Arabidopsis thaliana: one gene and its partner. The protein of the gene in region 2 interacts with the protein of the main gene of each other region in a pairwise test. Each region holds a gene or a part of one and is shown on either strand. Other genes may lie near its edges.

The links.
Region 1: the proteins of TINY2 (region 2) and HB34 interact in a two-hybrid assay, tested with the Arabidopsis thaliana proteins (one large-scale study listed by BioGRID).

The regions. Positions count from the first base shown.
Region 1 is NC_003074.8:10,939,549-10,943,749, forward strand, and holds HB34 (homeobox protein 34), read right to left. Parts: upstream 2,286-4,201; 5' UTR 1,989-2,285; coding exon 1,050-1,988; 3' UTR 757-1,049; downstream 1-756. UniProt on the Arabidopsis thaliana protein: Putative transcription factor.
Region 2 is NC_003076.8:3,726,646-3,730,506, forward strand, and holds TINY2 (Integrase-type DNA-binding superfamily protein), read right to left. Parts: upstream 2,082-3,861; 5' UTR 1,855-2,081; coding exon 1,144-1,854; 3' UTR 808-1,143; downstream 1-807.

The DNA of each region.
Region 1 (4,201 bases), on a different chromosome or scaffold from region 2:
TGGTAAGCCGACATTTATTAATCACGACTAGTATCTAATTGTCTTAAGCCTATCGCATAATCACGGCTGCATTTCTACGTTTCCCAGTTAGAAAGTTATTTAAATTATTCGTAAAGTTAATGATTAGTTCCACGCCCTAAATTAACACTATATAGCACTTTAATAATAATAGTTAGATCCCAATTATATAATATATACTTATTTGTAGTTTGCACTTTAAGAATATCGAACACTTGAGCATATATACCAAAAACGGATAGTGGGAATGTAAGGATGATAAAGAAATGGATTAATGAGGAAATTAAAATGAATTATCCGATGAATCTTTTGTTAATTAGACACCAAGATAACTAATCATTGCAAAATATATTATTAGAATAATTAATATATAAAACAAAACCTGTCTCTTTTCTCAAAGAATAAAGAGAGATTTATGAAAAGGACACCTAGATCTTAGTTTGATCGCATATTAAATTAAGCGACAAAGTACTCTTCAAGATAAGAAACCATCAAATAATATTAAATAATTAACTAAATTGCAATAGTTTATTTATGTTTGGGACTCACATTTTAGGGTTCGTTTGATTACCTAAATTGACCTATAGTGTTGTGACTAATTCGGGTGATTAGTTCATATAATCTTTCCATTAGTGGAAAAGTATTATGAAACCTTTGGGAACGTTACAATTTAAAAAGACAAAATGCTTTTAAGATAAGAAGCCAAAAAACATATTATTAAAAAAAACATTAAAGTTATAAAATTTTCCTCATTAGGGTTCATTAAATTAACCAAAATTGACTTATTATAACATAATCCAATTTGTTGATATAAACTTACTTTAAATGGAAAAATAAGACAACGTCGTGGTAATGAAATTATAATAAAATTGGAAAATTAAAAAAGAGCTAAAAGAGTTTAATTAATATTAATAAAACGTATTAACGATAATAATACCAGTGCTTACTCTCTATGATCTAAAGCTAAAAACAAAGCTTAAGCTTCCATTATTATAACTCTTTCCCTGCAAAACGACATGATGTTTTCTTCTTCACGACGAAGACGACGAGGCGTTTACGTTTCCGCCACCATCAGCTCCTCCACTATCACTCTCAAATCTCCCACCACCACCGTCACCGTCGTTAGCTAAACCGCGAACTCCATCATCGTTACTGTTCTCGCCGCCGATACCGTTATCGTTTCTCTGCACGGTGGTTGCTCCTCCGCCGGAGAATTTGAAGGAGTTTTTGTTATTATGCATCCAAACTTTGAGAACACCTTTATCAACTCCGATCTCACGGCAAAAATCACGAACTTCGTCTTCGTCACGTTTCTGAATCTTCCAACCGATTCGATCGGCGAATTCATGCATCTTCTCTTTCTGATTTGAGCTAAACTTCGTCCTGAATCGCTTCCTCGAGCCAGGCGTGGCGGAGAGATGGTTAGCCGCGGCGGCGAAGTTTAGATCTGAGAACGGTGCGGTTTTATTATTACCGGAGAGAGCTAAAAGCATGTAGGAGGAAGAGATAGGCGGCGGAGAAGATGAATTAGGACTACGTGGTAACGGAGGAGCTAGCGGAGGAGGAGGATGATGACGGTGATGAGGCTGATACTCAATTGCGGCGGTTGTTGTTGAAGATGGAAGAAGAGACGGTGGTGGAACGGCGGAGGAATCGTCAGTTTCACGGCGGTGGAAGTTACGGTGACAACCACAAGCTGCACACTTGAGAGAAGTTGGATCGGAAGGTGTTGACGAAGGAGACGGCATAAATTCGCCGCAACCGTCAAGCGCGTGACCACCAATCGCCGCCGCGTGGTTCTTGAGACATTCTTTGTAAGTGACTTTGTTGTTGTTGTGGTGGTGGTGGTGGTGGCGTTTGATGATTCCGTTACTGAAAGAGATTGGTTTAGCTGGTTGGATCCGGGTCGGAGTTTCGGATTCGGGTTCTGGTGATTTTGGAGTCATATCCATTGATCTAACTTCAAGCATCTTTATGTTTTTATTTTCTTGAAAAAAATCAAGAAAATATTAGGGTTTATGTTAAGCTTACAAAAAAAGAAAAGTTTGATATTGAGAAATGAAGAAGAAGATGGATAAAAAGAGATTAAATCAACTTTTGAAGATCATGTTTTTTGTAATAAGTTTAAGAAAATAAACTTTAGAGGAAGAAGATGTGTTATAAGATGATGATAGTGAATCTGCTCTGGTTGATGAATGTTGCTAAGAGAGAATAAAATAATTTAATAGGGAGAGATATAAAAATGTTAATAAATGTGAATAATAAATATATTTAAAATAAAAGGACAGAGCTTGAAGATGTTTAACAGAGAAAGGTAGGGTTTGATGATTTAACTATGGTTAAATGTATGGTTAAAAGTGGGACCTGTAATAGGGAGTGGGGAAATATATATAGAGTAATAAATGTCTTAAACCTAAAGACAGTCCAATTATAATTAATATTCTCATGCATTGTGACACTTCTTGTTTTTTTTTGAAGTTGGCTTCTTTTTACTTTATTCTAATATTTGTTCCTTCTGTTAAAATATGTTTAGCATTTTGTATATTTGACTATTACAATGTAATTACCGAACAACTTTGTAAAAGTTTACTTATACTATTAGGTATTATTGTAAACTAAATAGTTGTTTTTCACAAAATAATATTAAAAAAAATACTTATTCTGTTTTGTTGTTTAAAGATTTTTTCCAAAATAAGTATTGTTCTAAATTTTCAATGTAAAATCTATAAAGTATGAATCAGTTTGGTTTTTAAAATATAATATATATTAATAATTTATATAAAAATATTTAAAACGATATTATTATGAATGGAGGAAATATATGTTACCAGCAGGTAACTATATTGAAAAATGAATAATCTCAAATAAATTCAGTGGTTATCATTTGAAGTCATTCAGCCACCTTTAAAATAAATTCAGCCATCATCAGTTAAGGGGTTGATTGGTTCTCCTTCTACTACATGCAAACGCATCATTTACATGTGGTAACAATTGTTAGTGATTGACAATAATCATATAAATCGCGGGATACTGCTCGGATCGCTCGATATCAATACATTTCAAAAACTCCTTCCCGCAAACGTTTGTAGTTGTGGATGGTAGCGGTTGAATTAAAATATTAAAATAATAATAAATAATCAACATATTTGTAATTAAGATAAATATATATAATTCTGTATATATCTTTTCATATTTGTATCTAATCCTATATATTATATTTATTTTGGATCTTTTTTATTTATTTAATTATTATTGCATCTAGTCATAAGATTTCTGCAAATGCATCTATTTTGAAACGTTAAATTAGTCGTTTAAAACGCTTGAAACCACAATATCTCGCTTCCGCAAATTTCCGCAACCGCAAGCGAAACCACAGCCCCGTCCGCTGCAATTAAACCAGTCATGTCTTTAGTCATATGCAGTTAAATTCTTCGGTTACCATAAATAGATCCTATATCAAATTCGGTCTTTTGGGTTTAAAACTAAGACCTAATGTCTAAAAACTACCGTCATTCAAGGTCATAGACTAAAATCTAAATTAGTATCGGAACTTACTAAATATATGTAATTTATATTTATTATTTAAAATATTCAAATTTTGATGATTCTCTGTCATGTGCGGTGGTGTGTACAAACAATCAAGCAAACGCCATGGGCCAAGGCCAATGTGTTCGTACCAAGCGACCATCGCCGAGAAAAACGAAGTCGGTGGCCAAAGTTTCTTCTGGGCGATCACATCAAGAGCATCACAACTTGCTCCTTCTTTCGAACAAGCAAAATACGGCTAAAACCAAAAAAAATAAAGAAAAACATTTCAGAACAAAGCCAATGATGACTAAACCATAGTGATGAGAATAATCACTATACAAATGAATTGGCAAATAAGAAGGTCGTATTGTACGCATGTTTTTGGATTCTGAAATCACAAATTATTTTCCAACGAATGATTGCATCATTGGACCGAGAAATTCAACCTATCGATCGGTAACCAAACACGAAAAATATGATCCTTCGATTTTTTTTTTTAATTATCTCTCAATCGGTTCGTACACCACCATCAAACATCAGTTAAGTGGTACGTGAAATATTAAACCACATATTACGTCCGATATAACAATCTTTGCCTTCTTCGTTTTTTGTCACAAATAAATTATGTGCATCTATGTGTATTTTGAATTTCGTA
Region 2 (3,861 bases):
CTCTAGCTCCAAATGATCATCTTATATCTTGAGAACAAAAAAAATCATAAACCCTAATACCAAAATCTTAAATCCTATTTAGCTTCTTAATTTAAGCACAAGCAAATAGTGACGCCACAACGGTGGTGGTACGACAAAAGTTCGGCTATAAAGAAAATTGGATGTGGAGACATAAAATGAAGAGAGGAGGAACTCCCTTTAGGGATCCAAGTTATATGTGGAAATTAAATAGATGCTCATTCATTTTAATATTAATCTATTTCTTGATATATACATTCTTTTTTATTTGATGATCATTATGAAATTTTGATAAATTAGTCTTTAATCTTAACATATCGTAGAATAAGAACACAAACAAAAAAAAGTCATCTGTGGAGCTGGCTAATCAGATCTGAATTTATCATAAGCCTTTCTCTTTTTAATTCTAAAATAGAACGAGTTGTATGATATTTGTGTGGCCTATATTGTCTAACAAATTTTTTAAAGTGGGAAATTATGGTCATTAACATACTAATAGATGATAATAAAGTATTGCATGGATGTACATATGTGGCTGTGTATTGTTTGCGTCAGCTTGGACAAGTTGCTCTTGCTTTGTGTTTTCCCTCATTTTTTACCCTAACTCACATTCTCCGTTCCATTTATGTCGACAAAACAAAAATGAATGGGATAGTGAGACTCTAATTTACAATTAATGGTTAAAGATATTTCCTATAATTTTAAAAAAAAAACTTTTTTTGTCAAAGAAAACAAAAACAAAAACATTGAACAGTTTTTTAAATTTTGATGATTTGCATTATTACAATATCATAAAGTTAGTGGACTTTTATTTATCGCTTATTCATTTGATGATACTTACAAAAAAATCACTTTATTTTCCCTTCTTTTCCGACAAAAAAACCCGATATTTATATATTACAAAAAAAAAACACAAATAGAGTTTTGTACACGTATCATTATGGAGCTCACACCCGCTCCAAAAAAAAAAAAAAAAAAAACCTTTCTTAGCTAACACCAAAAAACTCAAAAAAAAAACAAAAACAGCAAAGGGTTTTAAAAACGTGATTAAACAAAACATTATGGCAATGATACAAAATAAACTGTTTTAAACAAAACATTATGGTAATGATACAAAATAAACTGTTAGAGATCCCATGACAAGCCATGGCCAAAATTAGGGCTAATTCCGTGACCATAGTTATCTTCGGACGACTGTCCCCACGGCGGCGGATATAAACAGTAGTCAACTGAGTCATAGAAGACAAACTCGTTCCCAAGGTTAGCCGAGTCGACGTCGTAACTCGCCCCGAGACTTGGAAGCTCCACAATCTCACCGAGCTCCTCCGACTCAGTCCTCGAGAGGTCCATCACCAACACAAGAGACTCGAGCGAAGACGTAGAAGACAAAGACGACGACGAAGACGTGGAAGATGAAAACGACGTCGTCGGTTCCATGTGAGCTGCTTTAAGAGCTGCTGTCTGAATGTCTCGAGGGCTTAATGAAACGGGTCGAGGGAATGAGTCAGCGAGTTCAGGGAAGTTTAGTATAGCGGCCGTTCCTTTAATGCTCAGAGCCGCCACGTCGTGTGCACGCGCCGCCATCTCCGGCGTCGGGAAAGTTCCCAGCCAAATACGTGATTTCTTCCTCGGCTCACGAATCTCCGACACCCATTTTCCCCAGTTCCTCATCCTTACTCCGCGATAAACAGGGTGTTTACCGGAGTCTCTCCCACGTTTAGTCTTCTTCTCGCTTTGCTCAGCTTTGCTTTTGTCACTCACTGAGTCAGACTCCGAGTTAGGGACAAGAAGCTGAGTTACTCTCTCCGAGCGGAGGCTGTAGTATTCCTCTGCCATTGTGTTAGCTTAGGCACAAGTATCGTACAAGTCTATTATTCTGATTGCTTTTTTCGATTCGGATCCCGAGATTAATGCAAATAAAAAGAAATAGCTAGGCTTCAGGGGGAAAAATATATAAGTTTGAGAACTATTCAAAATGAGGAAAAAAAACAGGGCAGTGAAGTGTGATGAAGAAATGAGAGAGAAACTTTGATATGAGAAGAGAAAAATGTTGGTAAAATTTTGGCTATCATTTCTCAGTCACTCAAAATATTTATATATGCATTAATATATTTGGGTACGGGTTAGAAGAGAGGGAATGGGACCAAAAACAATGCAATAAGTCTAATTGAATAAAGGAAATGGACCCAGTGGCTCCATTTATTTTTGTTTTTCTCACAGACCCACTCTATTTCTATATTGTGAATATATTGTTATTAGTATAAAACGACACACTTGGGGTCACTGTTTGCTTTAATATTTTTCCCGGTTCTTAAAATCTCATTATGCAACTAAATTAGGAAAACAAAATACTTTTCAGTATATTAAAAGATTATGAGACGACCATATTTAGAAGGGCAGTGTTGAAAAGAGATTTTGTCTCGGCCGGGTACGTAAATTATATGAAAGTTGTCTCCGAGATGAACATGATGAGACAAGCCTTTTTTGTTTTGTGTGGTAAGATAATTTTCACCTCAGTTTTACTGTTTAATTATCCTTTACCTTGATCTTCGACTCATTGGATCATACATTCCTATTTACATATTGGTATATATATATGCTCATCATGTGAAGGCAATATGTATCCACATATATGATATGCCATAATTGCAATTTAGTTTTGATCAGAATTAATATACATATTATTTACACGGATATAGAGTTATTGTCTTTCAAATTTTGATTTTCTATAAACATATTATATGAATGTCAACAGTTTTTGAAGATTTATTCAGGAAATTTTTTTAGTAAGTATCATATGTTTACTTTAGTTATATATATCGAGGGCTAATTAAAGGAACTTGTCTTAACCAATAAACCATATGCTTCGAGGCTAAATTTTAAATTTTGGAGAAATTTGTAACTGAGTGTTTTTTTTCGAGACACCAAATGGTGTGTGATTAATTGCACAATTTGTACTGATTTCATTTGAGAGGATATTTTATACTTAGACTTGAAAAGGTGTACTAAAGGGGGTTTAACCGTAAGTAAATTGATAATTAATACCTCTGTCCTGGTCTTAGAAAATATATGGGCGTAAGACCCATAAAAGAAAGAAATCTACCAGCCAATTGATATTAATTAGGTTAAAGTTGCTTCCAAACTAAAAAAAAAAGCCCCCAAAATTAGAGGTACAATATTGCAAATAAAGAAAAGAAGTTTGTAGAGGAAACTTCAAGAAATTTTAAGGGACAATAACTTGTTCAATCATGGGGTCGTATTTGCGTACCTATAAGGAAGGACGAGTGTCTGTCAAATATACACATACACTAAAGTCTTTTAATAATCATGCCAAAAAAATGTCTCTTAATGACGAAAAAATAATGTCTCTTAATAATCATTTTGGATTTTTCACAAGTAATAGCAATGTCTAAGTACTTGCAATGAAGAGAATTGTTTGTATTTTCGCCTCTCGTTTCAGCAATACGTATATGCATTTTATATTGATCATATACGTAATACTAATTAACAATAATATTGATCATCTTAAGTTTACTAAAAAAAAAAAAAAACTGGTCAACAAAGGTTTTAGAGTTTACAAGTTTCTAATTCAAAAATTATTGACATGAATATATTGACTCTTGCTTTATATTTATCCTAGTTAAACAGATTTTATGTGAGATTCTTACAAGTCTATTTAAGACGAGAACGAAAATAGTTTAATTGTTTTGAAAATATTGTTAGAACACGAGAACAGTTTATGAAATCAATCGGATTACAAAACCATTAAATAATTTTGAAACCTCTATTTAAAAGTCAAAACTAACTAGTAATGAATGAAAAAATAGAAAAAAAGAAAAATTA